4 linked regions of the Saccharomyces cerevisiae S288C genome follow. Changing the gene in region 1 together with any one later gene gives a genetic interaction. Each region holds a gene or a part of one and is shown on either strand. Other genes may lie near its edges. The genes, in order: YGR266W, YOL162W, YIR021W-A and NDL1.

Region 1 (6,479 bases):
GTAACTTCTTTTTATGACTGTCGAAAACAACAATGGGTTAGTAAGGAGTACGCAAGATCCTTCAGACGTTTTGCTTTATTTAAGACCCTACGCAGTTCCTTTTCTGCTCCTTTTCGTCCCAATATTGCTCTTTCGCTACCACTTTGTCCTTTTTCGCACACATGGCCGTACAAAATAACAGACGGTACGTTTTTAGTGATAATAAACAAGTTTATAGAGGCAGAAAAAAATTCCTCAGCGGCTAATGCCTCAACAAGTTCAGCTGCAAACGATGAAAAGACGCACACAAAAGCGAATAGAAATAACCGATCACCACAGTTCCTCTTTAAAACATCTCAAACTCAGCATTAACTTTCAAATCAATCCAGTGAAAGTATGCTTGGTTTGACACTTCACTGCCATTTCCTCCTGCCTGCCTATCTGATGCTTTGCCACCACAAGAGTGTTTTCCCTATGGCTTAATCGCTTTTTTCCATTTATTTTTCTCTTTCCCCCTTTTAATAGAGGGAAGAGAGCAGAACATACAAACATATCATTTTCTACGGTATAGCCTCCGCCTCCATCTTTAATAGTGACACTTCCATCAAGGGAATAAAGAGGCTTCAAGTCAAGAACTAAGCAGTCCCAAAAAATACCCATAAAACGAGTATAAACCATACTGTTATGTCTAAAGACACGCATGATGATGAACTGCCGAGCTACGAGGACGTAATCAAGGAAGAGGAGAGATTGCAATCTCAACCGCCACGACCACCAAGACCAGCAGCTAACTTGGCGCAAGGGCACCAATCAAGACCCCACCAAAGGCCCTCGACAATGCCAGCAACGTCCTCATCCCAAACATATGCTCACTCACACTCTTATACGCCTACAAGTTCCCAACCACGGCCTCCACCGAGGCCACAACAGAATCCTAGCTTGCCCTGGACATACCCTCCCAGGTTTTACTGTTCCAAGTGTGGAAATACGGGTTACAAGTTGAAGAATGGACGATCTTGCAAGTCGTGTTGGAGGAGGTTTGCACCTCAAAATAACGTTGTTTCTGCACCGACATATTACACAAACTATACAATGCCCGTGTACACCAACGCATGGCAGGGTAATAGGCCCTTGTACGTTCAACCAGGGGATCCTCGCCTGGGTGGCGTGCTATGTGGTGAATGCAGAGGGTCCGGACGCACCAGATTCCTGTTGGACGAAGATATATGTCCTCTTTGTCATGGTGTAGGCAGAATTATCACCCAGCCTCAACGCTATTAGCGCATGAAAATTTAGGATTTGGATGACCCGGTACGGCCTTAGTAGAAAAGCTGTGTCGCTCACCGAAAAGAAAAAAGACCGAACAACTGTAGGATGAAAAGCATATTTTAATGCTCCTAATTTTCAAACATGTCTATTACATACTTATCACATAATCCGACTGATTTGCCCTTCTTTAACTTCTTTCATTTATTTTTACGGTGCCAACCGTCTGATCGATATAGCATCCGTTCATAAAATATTATACGACTCCATCCTCAATCGTGATTGTGCGTGCGTGACTCATTTTTTGTTAGAACCAATACTTTCAATCATCCCAAAATGCATAACATCCAATTAGTGCAAGAGATAGAAAGACATGAAACCCCGTTAAACATTAGACCTACCTCTCCATACACTTTAAACCCTCCTGTCGAGAGAGATGGGTTTTCTTGGCCAAGTGTGGGTACAAGACAACGTGCAGAGGAAACTGAAGAGGAGGAAAAGGAACGAATTCAACGCATTTCAGGCGCTATCAAGACAATTTTGACCGAACTGGGTGAAGATGTCAACAGAGAAGGTCTACTAGATACTCCACAAAGATACGCTAAAGCCATGCTTTATTTCACTAAAGGTTACCAAACGAACATTATGGACGATGTCATTAAGAATGCTGTCTTTGAAGAAGATCATGATGAAATGGTTATTGTTCGTGATATTGAAATTTACTCGTTATGTGAACATCATTTGGTGCCATTTTTCGGCAAGGTTCATATCGGGTATATACCAAATAAAAAAGTCATCGGGTTAAGTAAGTTGGCCAGATTGGCAGAAATGTATGCGAGAAGGCTCCAAGTTCAAGAAAGACTTACAAAGCAAATTGCAATGGCCCTAAGTGATATTCTAAAACCATTAGGTGTAGCCGTTGTTATGGAAGCTTCTCATATGTGCATGGTTTCAAGAGGCATTCAAAAAACGGGATCTTCTACGGTAACTTCTTGTATGCTTGGAGGGTTTAGGGCTCATAAAACAAGAGAAGAGTTTTTAACTCTTTTAGGAAGAAGAAGTATTTGAAAAAAAAAAATAAAAGCGACGATATATCGTGTATGTATTAACTAAATTAATAGAGATATACAGGATTAATATCGTTTGAGAAATCTCCATAGAGAAAGGCCACGCGCGACTGAGCTTTTTTTTTTTTCAACAATCAGTATATACATTTACTTCCGGTACAGCATCGCACTTGACAGTCCGTTAGTAATGAATAGAAAAGTTTGAACTGCTAAATAAAAATCTGTAATTATCACAAAACTAAACTATGTGATATTCAGATGTTTGATACCCTTGTGAGACAACCGTTCGCAGGTAACTGTTAACTCTGGAATGGGTAAACAGTAGCTCACAGTTTGTGAGTTTGTTTGATTTGCATCTCTTTCAACATGAATGGTGGTAAACAAGCCACCAGAAGTTACTGGATAAGAGTTAATTTGGTCATCGTTTTCCAATTTCTGTAGCTTTTGCTGTTCTGTGATGATACCAGGAATGACTATATCACCAACCTTTACGCCTAATTCTTTACTCAATTGGGGATTATTCAACAGGTTTTCTATAGGTATAATATCTGACCAGTTTCTCTTGTTCATGAAACATGATTCTTTACGTTTATGTACTCCATCCACTTCCTTGGCAAAAATTGGTACGGCATCTTCATCCGTTTCCAAATCGAAATGATGCAAGCGACATCTTTTTTGCAATAGCGTGGCCATTGCATCTGGCGGTGGGGTATTTACTATGGCGCTAGCAATGATATTAAAAATCAGCCTTACGTCTTTCGTTGGTTCTTCAATAATTCTGGTGTTTTCCTTTTCCTTCTCCTCAGACATGATGAGATGGTGTCTATGAATTTTTGCCCTAAATCTCCCAACAGATGCCAAATGTACATCGCCTGATAATATGGTTATTCTGACGCCATATTTAGCACCTATGTCTTGCAATTTCATTATCAAGTAGTTTCTTTCTTTTTTATGATGTCTCGCGCACCAATGATCATTTAAATCATCCAACAGTTCTACATCTCCATTAAATTCGTTAACGAAGCCACTAGCAAATATCCCTTTTTTAGATAAATATTTAATTGGAGCCAGTAGTTTTGAGGTAAAAAGCCATTCTAACCATACTAACCTTGGATATGCAATCGGGATACCGAGCATCAGCAATAAGTGGCCACCTTTTAAATTTTTTATTTCCCTTTCGACACGTTCCCAAATTAAGGAATAACTTCTTTCTGAGAAAATCTCGTGTAATTTCCTCTCAGTTCTACAGTCCAACCCTAACATGGCCATTTTCGGACCCAACCAAGAGAATATTGAGTGAGACCTTTCACCGATATAAGAACTCCCTTTTTCATTACCTAGAATCCATTGTTTGCTCTTGAGATAAGCATACTCATCGCCATCTTGTTTAGAAGCACTGACATGCTGCTGGAAAAGCATATAGTATCGGTAAGCCATTCTTCCCACTGTGAGGAAATTTTCAGTCTTCATGAAGGAATCGTTGTACGATCCATAGCCATCAATAATATCGTGGTCATCCCAGACATTAATGGCAGGAATACAAGCTAGTGACTTGACAAAGCATTTTTGGGTGGTCTTGGATTTTGGGGTAGAACCATACCAGTGACCGTAACCGTACCAGTTTAAATAGTGTTCTAAATAAAACTGCCTAATCTGCTCTTTTGTTTCTTCAGTGGTCTGAGTATTATACTTCTTAATTGGGTCCTTTGTCTCCAGCCAAGCTTTAAGATTTGGCGCATGCAGTTTAATATTATCGGAGTAAATTTGATCTCCGCCGCCGAGAATGGCATGATAATGAACGTATCGATGCTTTTTAAGGACATCATACCATAGAGAACCTTTGAATTTCGATGTATCTACGCTCAGTGAAAATCCGTTGCATGAATAGGAGATAACGTTCGAATTTTGAGTGAAAGAGGGAACGAAGAACCTATAATGTGGTTCCATAGTACCGTCAACAGCATATTTTACCATCTGCTCATAGTTGGACATGGGCAACTTAATCTCATACCTGTAAAACCATATATTATCATCTTTTAAAATGTCCTTATGAAAAAGTTTACCTTCGAAGAATGCCTCGTTAACTTCGATGTCTTCATCCTCAGAGGGCAAAGAGGGCCCTAGCTGATAGGTAATTTTCGGAAAGTTTTCCTCGCCTCTAACTACCACCATAATAGACCCCTCGTAGGTTTTTTCCTTAAAATCCATGTTGATGAGTCTTAATATCGGTCCACATATAATACCAGACTTTGGAATTGGCGAAGTTTCGGAACAGTCATCGCAGCCAGTGACATCGTCTCTATAAAGAGCTTCTGGGTTCCAATCGTCGAACCAGTTTGTAGCATGCATTTTTGTAGCAGTGTTTATTTTCAATTGAGTACTTTGAACCCGGTAGCAACTGTTTTGACCTTCTGTAGGACTTTCCCCTCACTAACTTTGTGGAATTTCTTTTCATTTTTACTAATGGACCCTTCGCTATGTAGCCGTGCCGATAAAAATATATTCCTGGTATTACCCGACGCTGCTATTTCAACTTTTTTCAATAAAAGGACGAAAAAATAACATGTTTAATCTTGAGACCTTCTGGGTTAAGTTTATTGATAGAGATTAAGTACTAGTTTAAAACGTCTCAGGCATAAAACATGAATTATGCTAACTTTTTAGCTACAGCGGACATAGTTGTACAAACTGAGGAAAGGCTTCTTTAACCAGGGATTTTGAAGTAGGAATTGTTGAAGTCAAAAATGGGAACCTATGGAGGGGAATTCAAAAGGCATGAAGTCAAAAGATTAACATAATATAATTCAACTTTGAAAAATATTCTAGTCAAAGCTTTCCCGAGAACGCGTAGCGTGATGATAATGGTGTATCCTATCGATCTGTCGACTTGCTATGATTATCTTTGTTAGCCGCCGAAACGATCATTTATGCATTGCCCGAGTATAGTCACTTCTTCTCAATATCACGAGGCACGAATGATTTCGGAGGCAGAAAAAATTTCTGTACGCAACTTATCGAAAGAGAAAACGAAAAAAAAAAAAAGACGATGACAAATTTTCTTCGATGTCTAATGTTAATGATGATTTGCTTCCTGATATGCATCTTTGTGGAGGAATAAAACTTGAAAAAAAAGCGGAAATTTACAACAAGCATGTCTTTCCTCATTTCCTTTGATAAATCGAAGAAACATCCTGCCCATTTGCAGTTAGCGAACAATTTGAAGATTGCCCTAGCACTTGAATATGCAAGCAAAAATTTAAAGCCTGAAGTTGACAATGATAATGCTGCCATGGAATTGCGCAATACAAAGGAACCTTTCCTTTTGTTTGATGCTAACGCTATTCTAAGATATGTCATGGATGATTTTGAAGGTCAAACTTCCGACAAGTATCAATTTGCATTGGCATCTTTACAAAACCTGTTATATCATAAAGAATTACCTCAACAACATGTCGAGGTTTTGACAAATAAGGCCATTGAAAATTACTTGGTCGAATTAAAAGAACCATTGACTACTACAGATTTGATCCTGTTTGCTAACGTTTATGCTCTAAATTCTTCTTTAGTTCATTCTAAATTCCCAGAATTGCCATCCAAAGTGCATAACGCTGTAGCATTGGCTAAAAAGCATGTTCCACGTGATTCTTCTTCTTTCAAAAACATCGGCGCAGTGAAAATCCAAGCTGACTTAACAGTTAAGCCAAAGGATTCAGAAATTTTGCCTAAGCCAAACGAAAGAAACATCTTGATCACTTCGGCATTACCTTATGTCAACAACGTTCCACACTTGGGTAATATCATCGGTAGTGTTCTTTCAGCAGACATTTTTGCTCGTTACTGTAAGGGACGTAATTATAATGCCTTGTTTATTTGTGGTACTGATGAATATGGTACTGCCACGGAAACTAAAGCTTTGGAGGAAGGTGTGACACCAAGACAATTATGTGACAAATATCACAAAATCCACAGTGACGTTTACAAGTGGTTCCAAATTGGATTTGATTATTTCGGTAGAACTACGACGGACAAGCAAACGGAGATTGCTCAACATATTTTTACAAAGCTAAATTCGAATGGTTATCTAGAAGAACAATCTATGAAGCAATTGTACTGTCCAGTTCATAATTCTTATCTGGCTGATCGTTACGTGGAAGGTGAATGTCCAAA
Region 2 (4,809 bases), on another chromosome or scaffold:
ATGCATGCCTCGTTCAGGAACAAGTGCATCTTATTTTTAATGATGAAGATGGTGCGAAAGATGAAACATGAAAGGTGTGAAGTGATAAATGAGCATCTGTTAACAAATCGTTTAAGTAGTGATGACTGATGAAGGCATGGGTATAAATAGAGCTGCTTCAACTGTATGTCTTTGAGAATATTTTTTTATTCCTTTCTTTCCTGTTAAGCTCATATCAGCACTAAAAAACAAAACAAATATAATGGTCAAATTAACTTCAATCGCTGCTGGTGTCGCCGCCATCGCTGCTGGTGCTTCCGCAACCACCACTCTAGCTCAATCTGACGAAAGAGTCAACTTGGTGGAATTGGGTGTCTACGTCTCTGATATCAGAGCTCACTTGGCCCAATACTACATGTTCCAAGCCGCCCACCCAACTGAAACCTACCCAGTCGAAGTTGCTGAAGCCGTTTTCAACTACGGTGACTTCACCACCATGTTGACTGGTATTTCCCCAGACCAAGTCACCAGAATGATCACCGGTGTCCCATGGTACTCCACCAGATTAAAGCCAGCTATCTCCAAGGCTCTATCCAAAGATGGTATCTACACTATCGCAAACTAGAGACTGATGCCTTTACGAATGAAAATCCATAGACAGTGAAAAGTAATGAAAAATAAAATAAAAAACTACTTTTTTTGATGATATAAATACCGTTGATTATATAAATGTATATTAATATTATAAACATATTTGATCAATGACGGTGTTCGTGAAGCATTTTATGAATATGATAAACATAGAAAGAAATTTTACACTATTGTAGAAAAAGCGTGGACGGTAATAAAGCTAACAGAGTATGTCCAATAAACAACAATGAAATTGGAAGCGTATGACTTCGCAGCACTTTGTCCTTCCATAAAAATGAGTCGCTGCTTCTTTTTTCATTTTTTGGCGCGTCGCGTCGGGCCGTATAGAATATGCGTCACTTCTAAGAACATGATTGCAGATCAGGGCAGTGCGAGCTACAAGTCATGGTATCAGACTCTCATTTAGAGACCCTCATTTTTCGACACGTAAAATATCAAAATTTTTGGGTTGGCACAGTTTTTTGTGGAACCGACCAAGAAAACCAAGATTTATAGCAAATTATAAATTTCAAATCTCGAATATTTAACTCAACAATATAGTGAATAAGCTCATCATACCCTAAACAAACCTAAGCAATCACCTAAACATATAATTAAGGAAAAAGAGTGATTAGTTCATAAACACCAACGGCAATAGGGTAAATATAAGTCCTTAATCCATCTTATTGAAAATAGTATAGAACATTAAATGAAAAAAATGATTCACAAACTTAAAAAATACATAACATGGAGATTGTATCCATATTTCTACATAGTTCAGTGATAGAATCTAAAATCGAGTCTACGTGAACCAGCATCACTAGTAGTACTTAGATAGTGGTCTTTTTCCTCTTCTGACATTGCATTCCACCTCTTATCCCTCTGCTTGTTGATATAGACATAAATCAATTTGCTACCAATTAATATTGGAAACATAAAAAGTGCCAAACCAAAAAGAACTCCATTTCCCTTACGATAGAGTGGGGCATCGCTTTTCGCATAAATGTTTGAGGATATGATGAGACCTGCTTGCACGAACATATTGTACAAGCAAGTAGATACTGTTCTTGTTTTAACTGATTGGGAGTTTCTAGAACACAAGGATACACAAATTGCATGGATATACGGATTATCTAATATTAAGGTAATAATTGCATAAGTTCCCCATTTATTAAACATTGTACCTTTCCAAAAGCGAAGAACTGCAAGAAGAGGAACAGTGTACAACGGTTGTAACAGACTCAAACCTAGCCTGTTATTACATTTTTCTGTCGACCATGTTAAACCAAACAGCAGGAGAATATGAAGAACAAAGTTAGGAATAGCTAGCAGGTTGGCTTGAAAGGTTGTGAAACCGATACTTCTCAATACCAAAGTCAGGTATGTGGCCAAAACGTTCGTAGGGATATAAGCCAAAAGGCCCATCAAGTAGATAGGCTATATATAGTAATCTGTTATCCCCTGCCATAACATTTTAAGTGACATACCTTGCCTATTGTTCATATCCCCTTTTGTCGGATCATCTCTCAGAATCTTGTTTACGATGATTTTTTCTTCCCTCTCAGTGAACCATCCTTTCTTGCTCCAAGGTTTCTTCGTTTGAACTACGGAGGGTACCATCAAGAAGTATGCACTGATACCGATGACTAAAGTGAAAATTCTTTCTATCAAAAAAAGCCATTGCCACCCTGCCATGCCACCTATCCCTCTCATGTGAAAAACCCCGAAGGCCACAATTGAAGTGATGATTTGTGTTAGAGATAGTGTCACCCAGAAGAACGACAGTCTTATTGACAATTCTGAAGAGCTGTAGAAGTACGACATCCAGAGAACCAAATCAGCCACAAAACCACCTTCAAATAGGCCCATAAGTGCTCTACATGTATAGAAAGAACTCTTCCCTGTCATTTTGCATTGCAACGTAGCCACTAGGGACCACGCTATCATTTGCAGAGGAATCCAACTATCAGCTCCTAGTTTCTTCGAAATGAGTTGTGAGGGTAATTCTGCACACAAGAAAGTCAAGTAGAATATGGTGTTTCCAACGTTATAATTGTTAGCATTTAAACCCAAATCATGCAATAAGTTATCGGCGACCGCTTGTGACAAATTACCTCGATCAATCTGCAAGGCCACAAATAGGAAACATGAAAGGGGAGTAACATGCCAGTCTAACTTTCTCACTACTTTTTATTCTTCTTTCTTAGTCCATTCAAATGTTGTATCAAATCTTTCAAGACATTCATACTTAGTGGACTCGTACAACTGTCTATAATACTTTTCCACAGCAGGATTTAAAAAGGGGTTTTCAGGCTTTCCAGAGAGTTGTCGGTATTGGGAATGTTCACCAATGAATAGAGAGGTTTATCAGAAAGGGACTCCTCTAACTGAGTAACTGTAGTTTCTACAGAGGCTTTTTCAGGCTTGTACTCAAACATAAATACGAAACAAAGTGTTTAGAGAGTGCTATATTAATTTGTGTCTGAAATAGTACGTTTATATACTAAGTATATTGGCTCAGGCTGCCTTCGGTTATCAGCAGTGTCAATAAAGATTTACATATCTGTGTAATGGATAAAAAACTCTATGACACCCCGATTGCTGTTGAATAGTCTAGGTGAGTATATTATCTTCAGCAGATGGCTTTTCCATCAGAGCCATTGTGAAGAAATCGGAGGAAAATTGTGGTCTATTCACAATGACAAGCGGTGAGCGTCACCCTAAAGAACACCGAAACTCGGCGAGCTGCCAGATAAGTTCTCTTTGTTTTGTCTTAGCTTGTGGCGCAGGGTCCTCTGAGTATTCTCTTACATCGCGCCACAATATACGCCACAAGCCCGAAACAGTTGTAATCACTATGAGTTTGTATTCCACCGTTAGTGTGAATCTATCTTTCCACTATTAGCTGGAATGTCGATGAAAACCAGGTGATGGAAAGTAGATGGTCTGAAACTACCATTTTGAAGAACGCAAACTTTATCGAAGTAAATCGAAACGGCAGATTCATTTGAATTTGAGATAACTTTAAATTTCAATTCACAATAGTAAATGTTATTAGGAAAACAGAATATACGAAAAGCTCTCTTCGGAAGTATAGGTGACTGTAAATAGAAACCTGTAGCTCCACCAAAGTATTATAGATTACTGTGTCTTCCTTTTTTAAACACTCTGATTCATTAGTTTCACTGTATATTAATCCGTACTTTTCCAATTGTAGTAAATACGATAACACCTCGAACCACACTTTACAAGCTTTATAACTTATATCATTCTCGATATCGTATATGATAATCAGTGGGCCAGGAATGATTTCTCTTCTTCACAAAAGGCCTCGTATTGAAGAAATACTATTGAAAAATTATATAATATAGTGGATAAAAAAGTTGGCATCTAAAAATCAAGTTTCTCGCCGATTTCTGATAATATATTCAAGTGCTTCCCCCCATAGGCTCAACGACGGGAAAGGACTGGTCGAAGTCGTCAAACAACTTCAACAGCTCTTCAATTCTGAGTCGATTACCCTCTATTTCGACTTCTTTTGATCTTAAAAAATCAACCATAGTAATTTCATTGGCCAATAAAGCTTCAAATGTAGTTCTTTTGAGAGTAATTGTTGCATCTGCATCTGTCTGCCAGCCCTGAATGTAGGTCAGGGCACAGTTTTCGAGAGTGATCACGAACCGTTCATTTGAATTAATGAAACACCAATTACTAACGATAATTTTACCTTCTGCTTTCGTAGCGTTCAATCTCACAGCAAGAAAGTCAAAAAACATTTCGTTATTCAAAACGGCAATATTGTTGCGCTTACCAGTACTTCGTCTTTTTGGTACACCTTGGCGCAACTCCATGGCGCCTACAAGGTAAGCGTTGCGCCACGTGCTGGCTTCTGCTTGATACCCCAGCTGTTCCAATGCGTCAGCACAGAGCTCACGAGCTTGATGGTTATTTGGGTCAGCGAAAACCAATTGATTAACAACGCTTGCAACCCAACGAAACTCTCCTTTCTGGAAATCTTTATAAGCCCGTGCCAATACAGCATCAGCGCCGCCCATATACTCGACTGCTTTCTTTGCATAGGCTACGGGTGGCAAAGGGTTTAGGTTAGCCGGATTTGCATCATACCACCCCAGGTATTTTTGATACACAGCCTTTACATTGTGACTCAAAGTGCCGTAGTAACCTCGTGTTGACCATTCT
Region 3 (4,658 bases), on another chromosome or scaffold:
CCCAGCAGAGCACTCAACCCCAACATACCTAACAATGCAAACTTGGCATATTTGTTCTCGCTAATCCAAATCGTAATGTACCCTAGTTGTGGAAAGTAGCCCTTGACGGTCCCTACAATCTCCTTTGACTTGTTCAAGTAAATTTTCTTATTAGCATATAGTGAGATATCATTGCCGGCGTTATTGTCACCTTTGGTCAGGAGGAATTGCTTGTCCGCGTGATTGTTATGTTGCCTCAAAACTCTATGCACAATGGGGATTTGTTTCCCTTCGACCTCATACACCACGACATCACCTACTTGGTTGAAAGTATTTCTATTCCATAGGAAAAGGATATCACCCCTTTGGAAAGCTGGTTCCATGGAGCCTGAAAGCACCACCACGATCGGAGAAGCGCTATTAGTAGCAATGGCTAAGCCTTGCCAGAACATGTAAGCAGATGCAAACAAAAAGCAAACGTTCAATAGTTTCTGCAATTCAAATCTTAGATTCATCTTGTGCTAACTCCCTTGGGGTTTACTTTCCGGTATATTTCTGTAGTATATTGTTTCTGCACCATTTATTTCCTTGGAGATTATTTTTTTGAAATCGCTTTTGCCAATGGAAAAAAGTATACGTATGGTAATAATAATAAGAGCAACAGCGCTCTCTGAAATAGAAGATACCAGCAGCTTCGTGGTCTTGGGAGTCTTGCAGCTGACAGAGAATGACATTGTTGTGCAGGTGTGTCACATAAGATCTGGAAAAAACCAACAGCTACAGAAAGAACCGCCCTCACGGAGAATAAAGTCAATAGTAGCTTTTTTTTACGTACTTTCTATTTACATGCTATATAAGAGGATTATATCTTTGCGCCTTTGAGAAACTTTGAGGAACCGGCCTGAAAATGTTGTAGATTGAGCTTTTCTTGCTTAACGTAGTCGTTGAATTGCTTTAGGACGCCTGAGTCCAACCTACCATTGTCCTTCATCACAATGTCAACGAGGTTGCTATACGTACGAAGAACTTTACTCGACTCCATAGTAGCGAGAAACACCTCTGTCATATCAGATGCATCTTTTCCTGTGTCCAGGGAAAGACAATCCTTCAGGGAGAAGTTTAGGCCCGTTGTCGAGGATAGTATGGGGAATTTAAGTTTCCAGCCTTTATCCAAATGAAGACACATTAGCGGGTCGATGTCATTATCGAAGGCGGATCGCAGTAATCGCTTGGTGACAACCTCCTTTATAGTGGCACGTACCACCGGATCGTACATCTGATATTCTCGAGGTACAGAAATGGAAGGGTTTTCCTTTAATGAGACTCTTATGGGAGTCAATTCGCACCAGAAGGTGTCAATGAATTCAGGATTGCAGACAGCTGCAAGCAAACGAGCTTTTTCATTGGTAGAAGTTACGTACACTCCTTGGCATTTCGCGTATAGTAGGTGTTCTAGGATGTTTGATTGCAGTTTACAATTAAAATCCACCAGGTCTGATCGCTCTCTTTCTATAGAAACAAGATTCGTCATATTAGGAGATACACCAAGAATCGATATGATCTTTTCAGTTGCAAACAGTGTATCAACAGGTAGTAAACTGATATTCTGTCTTCTGTCAGTTGCAAATGTACTGTCAAAGGGTATTTTTTGCCAATCGACCAAGCTAGTGTTGAACTTATCATCAACGGTCATCTTGCAAAAAGAAAATGAGTCGTTTGTCAGGAAAACACTAAACAAGTTGACTTTGCCATCTTCAACGAGACGACCCCTCAACTGCTCGAAAATGCCACATCGAGAGACCAAAAAGGTTCTCAATGGCGCCTTTTTAGTGTCATACCATTCTTTTTTACTACCTAGGATCATCGACAATGATTTTAGAGTTTTAAAATTTGCTTTGCGGCAATACAAATCTATAGCCGGGATCACCGACCTTGTTATATTCTTCGGAGACATCTTTAGAGTAACCACAGATATTCAATACCAACCTATACTTCCATTGCTGCTTGTCTCACATCTAAACTTCGCCGTTTAGCGAGTTTTCATAATTTTTCACTTACCAGCACTTTTTCATTTTTCCCTTTTCCGTTGTTGAAACGGATCAAAGTTTGGAATAATAAGGATACAAAACGCCAAAAGAATGCGAACTTTCAAGCGTGGAAAAGTATCGAAAGACATTCATTCAAAAGATTCTAACGTGATTATCGTAAATAGCTGGAATTGTAGATATTTACAATGACATAGATCATTTTTCTTCGACGAAATTACGGCCTAATGTCGAGACAAGAATAATATGACGCTGATCTGTGTTTTGACAAGAATATGAATGATCTTAAGAAAAGGTTTCGCTGAATCAATTGGAAGACAGCGTCTTCAATTGTCCTACTAAATTCTTTACAGATGACATCTGGGTCTGGGGAGATCATGCAAAAAAATAAGACATCATTTATAACTTTCAACCTTCCGCTCACAGGACAAATTCTCGAAGACGCTACGGAAAGATGCTGAGCTTGATCATAATTCTTCAGGCTCCCAATTCAAGAATACAATTACTTAGCGTGGGTGCTTCTGCTCAGTCTTCGTTTCCTATCTCCACATACCAATCACTCGTTTGTTACTAATTCGAATAATTTACTGCTGTAAGGAGTCGTACCGCCAACTAAATCTGAATAACAATTTGGCTGCTAGAAGTTAAAAAGTAGGCGCTGCAATGATTATGTGGTATGATCAGATTGTGTCGCAACGCTCAGCGGGGTTTTGGCTCAATGGGACCGCTGCTAATAAAACGTTTAACTAGCGAATTTTGGAACACACCGGTTGACAAAAGTATAAGGAGTCTCTTTCCGTGAGTTCCCCTCTTCCTCTCACTGCACTTCAACTATGCCTTATAGCAACCAAGAAGCTAGAAAATGCCAACTATTAAAAAGATAACCTCTTTGGAAGCAAATAAAACGGAGATTATCTTGGGATCTATTTCACAAATTTACGGCTAATTGGAATGAACAGCGCCAAGTAGCACTGGTCAAACTGCAGAGAGTATTAGAACTTGCTTTATTCCGTATATCGTACTTTAGGTCGTCAGTTTTACCACTTCGGTACGCAAATGAAAATGAAAAGCTCATTCACAACTTAGACACAATTTCGCCGTTTACAAGTAGCTGAAAAGTCCATCTATCGAATTATGAATGATACTATTTTAAATATAGTCGTTGCTGCACTCGTTTTCCATGTTCTTTTTATCCACACATCCGATGTTTTACTTACAGTTGAGCATCTCAGGGCCAGCGACAAATATAAACATATTATACTCAAAATGAAGCTCGTTGAAAAGAGGATATTTCTTAACCTCTTTTACAGTGCTTTCAACACCTTTTCATCTGTGTGCCATGTCAGATTAAGGATGCTCAACTTTTCGAATTATTATTACAAATTTCAAAGAAATTACTAGTCCTTTTTGTCCCCTAATGTATCCCTCATTTCATACCGTCGTTTTGGGGTTCCAACTACGTATAGCTTTCAAGTGTGGTTTTACGGTAAGAACAACCCCCCATCGGTTAGTGCGGAATACTTTCCTATTCTCATCGAGAGCCGAGCCATACACCTAAGGTGGACAGAAAGCTAAAATTCCAAAACAGAAAAATCTAACATCTTTGCTCCCTTACAAGTAGGAACGCTAGCGTATCAACCCATCTCCAGATTTGCCCAGCATTTCTGTAGAACACCCAATGCGAATGAAGACTAATGAATATTGTAAAGACAAAAAATAGGAAAAGTTTAATTAGTGATGGTTCTCACCACCCCAAAACGGTCACTTGCATGCATTGAGGACATGCACCTGCAGTACTTGTTTTTCTCGAATGTTTTTTACCATCTCTTTTTTCCTTATCTGAGCTGCTGACGCAGACGGACATTGTTTCATATTTCGAAAGCTGTGCGGGAAAACGGACCCTAACACGAATGTGAATGCGCTAATCGGTATTTCCACCACATGAAACCTGCTACTTTTTCAGTCCTCTTCGTATGCATTTCCCAAAATTCATTCGTAGCCTTGTCAACTTAGACTCAGTTCCACGGCGTGCAGGACGGGGTATTATGAATAAAAGGATCCACGGGTGAGATTTGTTTTATGTTTTAGGTATGGAGTTTTGTACCACAAAACTTTAGGAATACCGGATTGTGTGCCTACGCCAGCCCCAGAGTATGTTCTCACAGCTGTAATTCCTAGTGATCTTTTCCTGACTCCAATAGGAACGCCGGTAGGCAAATTAAACTTTCGCGGCAGGAAAAAAAAGGCTTTTTCTTTTTTGCCTTTCAGTTTCTCGGAATGTGGCATTACATAAGCATAATCCTTTTTGGGTGTGCCTGGAAAGTTCAAATTAAGGTTTTTTTCTTCTGTTTTCTTAACAAGAAAATGTCGCCCAAAGAGTTTCGGCCGTTATTTTCCTATCGAGTGGGTCCTTTTTGTCTTTAGTCCTTCTCTGGGGCTAGCGATCACTGCAAAATTAGGCTTTACTGGTACGAGTTAACTTTTTTTCTTTTTTTTGTCATCCTTTTCTTTGGGGCTAAGAATGGACTTCCCTTTTCTTTTTCTTTGTTGCGACAGTGGCTTCAAAGAACTGCTGATTGCTCAAGGCAATCAGTCCGAGCGTTTAGAAGGTGATTGTAGGCAGAAATTAACTTT
Region 4 (4,978 bases), on another chromosome or scaffold:
AGAAGATCTAGGCACCAGCATTGAGGATATGTTTTTAGAATTCAACAAAACCCCGATAGGTGTAGCTTCCTTGGCACAGGTTCATGTGGCAAAACTAAAAAATAGTGACGGTAAAGGTTCTAGTGTAGCTGTCAAATGTCAGCATCCATCGTTGAAGGAGTTTATACCATTAGATGTTATGCTGACAAGAACAGTGTTTGAACTGCTGGATGTCTTCTTCCCTGATTATCCGTTAACGTGGCTTGGTGATGAGCTTCAGTCTTCAATCTACGTGGAACTGAATTTTACCAAAGAAGCTGAAAATGCAGAAAAAACCCGTCATTATTTTAGTAAGTTCAAGAAGCAAACAGCATTGAAAATACCCAAGGTCATTGAAAGCCACAAAAGAATTTTGATTATGGAATATGTTGGAGGCAAAAGGTTGGATGATTTGGAGTACATTGACAGTCACGGTATCTCGCGCAGTGAAGTTTCGAGTTGTCTCTCTCATATTTTCAATAACATGATTTTTACTCCCAATGTAGGTATTCATTGTGATCCTCATGGAGGAAATCTGGCCATACGATCTGTTAAGCCCGCTAAAGATAATGGATACCATAACTTTGAAATTGTTTTATTTGACCACGGACTCTATAGATATCCTAGCACGAGAACAAGAAGACTTTATGCCAAATTTTGGTTGTCGCTCCTATTCGACAAGGACCAGACAAAAATGAAGAAGTATGCCAAAGGATTCGCAAACATCACCGACGAACAGTTTCCCCTTTTAGCGGCTGCAATTACGGGCCGTAGCATTGATGCTGCTTTGAATTACGACATTTCAACGAGTCGAACACAAGAAGAAATGGACGTCATGGCAAATGGGATCTTGGAAGGAACGTTACTGAGCGACTTGATGAGCATTTTGTCTAGAATCCCTCGTGTAGTGCTTTTGATATTGAAGACTAACGACCTAACCAGACATCTTGATGAATGTCTACAGAATCCACTCGGGCCAGAGAGGACTTTCCTGATCATGACGCAATACTGCGCCAAGACGGTCTACGACGAAAAAGTGGAAAGAATTAATTCGGAGTATGCGAGGTGGTCTATTAAATGGATGTGGGAGAACTTGACAAACTGGATAGTCTATGAGAGGCGTATTAATCAATTGTATTTTTATGATTTTGTGTTGTGGTGGAAAAAATTTATTCCGAAGACTTGGTTGTCATCTTAAATCGTTAGCGTTCTTTCTACTTGTAAATATATACGTAAAATTATATATAACAATTTTATATGTGTCATTAAACGGAAGACGTTGTTGCTATCACAGTGGATTGTGTTATTTGGGTATTTGGAATATTACAGTGACTTCTTGCAGCGTTGTTAGTTTTTGCCATGTTCTGCAAGTACAAGGTTGAAGATGTGGTCGAGACTTTGATAGTATCCTTAAACAACTTCATTTTTTTATTTTGACTGGGTAACGACCTGGTGTTCCTTCTAGTCTCACCGCTAGTGGCTTCTTCTTTGCTGACTCTTAACTTTTGCAGCGCCTCTTTGGTGTCGAGTAACTCGTGTTCCAGTAGAACGTTGCGTTCCAGTCGTCGGTCACTCTCCAATTGTAATGTCTCTATCTTATTCCTCAGTTGGATATTTTCATTTTCCAACTCATCTACCTGTATCTCTAAATCTGTTATCTGTTTCTTATTGCACTTATTTTGTTGTTGGCTCTCAAGAAGATCGCTTTTTAACTTTGATATTACTTGTTCCAAATCATTTTCATATTCTTTCGTGGCGCCTTCAAGCTCGCTCAACTGGGTCTCCAGTGAGGAGATTATCTGTATAGCTGTTTCCAAATCCAAATTCGGCACCATAGGAAAGTCGCAATTGTTGCACGTATATGTCCCTTGGATATTCCAATTAAATTTGCGAGGATTGTTCTTTCGGCCGTTCGTGGTTTGTTGTAGCCCTTATTATCCCTCTTTTTCATCCTTAATTGCAAATTTATGTATGAAAACTTTCATTTCTAATGTTATTAATTTTCCCGATTCTGCAAACTAATTGATAAAATAATTGATACTTGCCGTCACAGATGATATAGAGAACGTTCAGTTTTTTTATTGTTCTATTGTAAAAAAAAAAAAAAAAGGAAGAAAAAAGCAAGATCCGATAGGAGAAGACCTCTTTAGCGGCTTTACTGCGCTACAAATAAGGTTACGAATATGCGGAATAGTTCATGATACGTTGTTGAGTTATAGTATGTAGCCAATATTTCCTGTTTTTCCGCTGTTACCCTTTTCGAAGGATCGATGAACGCTTCTGTCACTTAGTAAGCAAATGTACGAAACCCAGAGCATTGTATGTACACCAGCAGTCGTTTTTTGTAGCTCTTTTCCATGGATGGACGATGATGGCAAGACGCGATCGTGGCGGAGCCTCACTAAGAAAAACAATTGTGGAGAATCTATACACACAGAAATCGTACTTCAAGAAATATTGATTAGCGAGCCTTTAAGCACAGAACAATCTCTATAGCCAACATCTTGTGGAAGCTACAACTGTTTTTCTTGTTCCCGCTTGAGTAGGGCCTTACAAGGCAAGACCGTATAAAATAAAGATAACTCCTCCGCCGTATCCTGAATTTCGTGTGCCCTTTCTCTCTCTCTCTCTTCCTCTTTCTTCCTTTCCCTTTCCCTCTTCTTCTTATCTCAACAACCGCCCAGCGCATTAGCAAACCACAGTACGAGCTGTACGGCTGAGCCACTGCACCTGTCTGGCTTGCCCCTTTTTGTTGAGTAACCGGGTAATAATTCGGCTGTCTAAACGATACAATCCTCGTTCCACCCACACCCATTCACCCGTCGGGCGAAATCCACCCTCGCGGCCTCGTTTAGAATACCAGGCAACGGCACCAGCAACGGCCCCGGTAACTCGATCGCGTTCATATATATCGGATATACTCTTGAGGCACAATTTTTTTCGGTTTTCGGTTTTTTCTATTATTCTTCGAGATGCAAAGCACACATTTGAGACTCACAACTCAAGATACCGCAAGCACACAGACGCTATTGTTCTCCCAAAGAATAGGTTCCTGCAGTGCTCTTTTAAGGTTTGAAGATATTGCACAAAATTGTATCTGATTTCATCTCATCGAACCTCATTCCATCAACTTCCTTTTATCAAAGCATCTTGTTTTGTTTTCGCAGAAAATTTTTCTTCCCTTTCAATTTGGCCTTTTAGTTTTTCTCCAGTCGCAGGCAAGAAGGTAAGGAAATAGAAGAAAAAGAAAAAAAAAAAAAGGGAACAATAGGTTAGATGTCGAATACCCCTTATAATTCATCTGTGCCTTCCATTGCATCCATGACCCAGTCTTCGGTCTCAAGAAGTCCTAACATGCATACAGCAACTACGCCCGGTGCCAACACCAGCTCTAACTCTCCACCCTTGCACATGTCTTCAGATTCGTCCAAGATCAAGAGGAAGCGTAACAGAATTCCGCTCAGTTGCACCATTTGTCGGAAAAGGAAAGTCAAATGTGACAAACTCAGACCACACTGCCAGCAGTGCACTAAAACTGGGGTAGCCCATCTCTGCCACTACATGGAACAGACCTGGGCAGAAGAGGCAGAGAAAGAATTGCTGAAGGACAACGAATTAAAGAAGCTTAGGGAGCGCGTAAAATCTTTAGAAAAGACTCTTTCTAAGGTGCACTCTTCTCCTTCGTCTAACTCCTTGAAAAGTTACAACACTCCCGAGAGCAGCAACCTGTTTATGGGTAGCGATGAACACACCACCCTTGTTAATGCAAATACAGGCTCTGCTTCCTCTGCCTCGCATATGCATCAGCAACAACAGCAACAGCAGCAACAGGAACAACAACAAGACTTTTCCAGAAGTGCGAACGCCAACGCGAATTCCTCGTCCCTTTCTATCTCAAATAAATATGACAACGATGAGCTGGACTTAACTAAGGACTTTGATCTTTTGCATATCAAAAGTAACGGAACCATCCACTTAGGTGCCACCCACTGGTTGTCTATCATGAAAGGTGACCCGTACCTAAAACTTTTGTGGGGTCATATCTTCGCTATGAGGGAAAAGTTAAATGAATGGTACTACCAAAAAAATTCGTACTCTAAGCTGAAGTCAAGCAAATGTCCCATCAATCACGCGCAAGCGCCGCCTTCTGCCGCTGCCGCCGCTACCAGAAAATGTCCTGTTGATCACTCCGCGTTTTCGTCTGGCATGGTGGCCCCAAAGGAGGAGACTCCTCTTCCTAGGAAATGTCCAGTTGACCACACCATGTTCTCTTCGGGAATGATTCCTCCCAGAGAGGACACTTCGTCCCAGAAGAGGTGTCCCGTTGACCACACCATGTATTCCGCAGGAATGATGCCGCCCAAGGACGAGACACCTTCCCCATTTTCCACTAAAGCTATGATAGACCATAACAAGCATACAATGAATCCGCCTCAGTCAAAATGTCCTGTGGACCATAGAAACTATATGAAGGATTATCCCTCTGACATGGCAAATTCTTCTTCGAACCCGGCAAGTCGTTGCCCCATTGACCATTCAAGCATGAAAAATACAGCGGCCTTACCAGCTTCAACGCACAATACCATCCCACACCACCAACCACAGTCCGGATCTCATGCTCGTTCGCATCCCGCACAAAGCAGGAAACATGATTCCTACATGACAGAATCTGAAGTCCTCGCAACACTTTGTGAGATGTTGCCACCAAAGCGCGTCATCGCATTATTCATCGAGAAATTCTTCAAACATTTATACCCTGCCATTCCAATCTTAGATGAACAGAATTTCAAAAATCACGTGAATCAAATGCTTTCGTTGTCTTCGATGAATCCCACAGTTAACAACTTTGGTATGAGCATGCCATCTTCATCTACACTAGAGAACCAACCCATAACACAAATCAATCTTCCAAAACTTTCCGATTCTTGTAACTTAGGTATTCTGATAATAATCTTGAGAT

What was found.
Region 2: mutations in YGR266W (region 1) and YOL162W together harm fitness more than expected from each alone (negative genetic interaction), as found in Saccharomyces cerevisiae (one large-scale study listed by BioGRID).
Region 3: mutations in YGR266W (region 1) and YIR021W-A together harm fitness more than expected from each alone (negative genetic interaction), as found in Saccharomyces cerevisiae (one large-scale study listed by BioGRID).
Region 4: mutations in YGR266W (region 1) and NDL1 together harm fitness more than expected from each alone (negative genetic interaction), as found in Saccharomyces cerevisiae (one large-scale study listed by BioGRID).

What each region holds. Positions count from the first base shown.
Region 1 is NC_001139.9:1,020,838-1,027,316, reverse strand, and holds YGR266W (uncharacterized protein), read right to left. Parts: upstream 4,662-6,479; coding exon 2,556-4,661; downstream 1-2,555. Other genes in the region: HUA1 (Hua1p), read left to right, coding at 664-1,260; FOL2 (GTP cyclohydrolase I), read left to right, coding at 1,582-2,313; methionine--tRNA ligase MES1, read left to right, coding at 5,464-6,479.
Region 2 is NC_001147.6:7,344-12,152, reverse strand, and holds YOL162W (uncharacterized protein), read right to left. Parts: upstream 2,035-4,809; coding exon 1,387-2,034; downstream 1-1,386. Other genes in the region: seripauperin PAU20, read left to right, coding at 242-604; YOL163W (uncharacterized protein), read right to left, coding at 2,047-2,556; BDS1 (sulfuric ester hydrolase), read right to left, coding at 4,038-4,809.
Region 3 is NC_001141.2:394,569-399,226, reverse strand, and holds YIR021W-A (uncharacterized protein), read right to left. Parts: upstream 714-4,658; coding exon 501-713; downstream 1-500. Other genes in the region: signal peptidase complex catalytic subunit SEC11, read right to left, coding at 1-494; MRS1 (Mrs1p), read right to left, coding at 842-1,933.
Region 4 is NC_001144.5:643,121-648,098, forward strand, and holds NDL1 (Ndl1p), read right to left. Parts: upstream 1,854-4,978; coding exon 1,284-1,853; downstream 1-1,283. Other genes in the region: CQD2 (Cqd2p), read left to right, coding at 1-1,216; YLR255C (uncharacterized protein), read right to left, coding at 2,480-2,833; HAP1 (Hap1p), read left to right, coding at 3,295-4,978. UniProt on the Saccharomyces cerevisiae protein: Required for nuclear migration to the bud neck during cell division.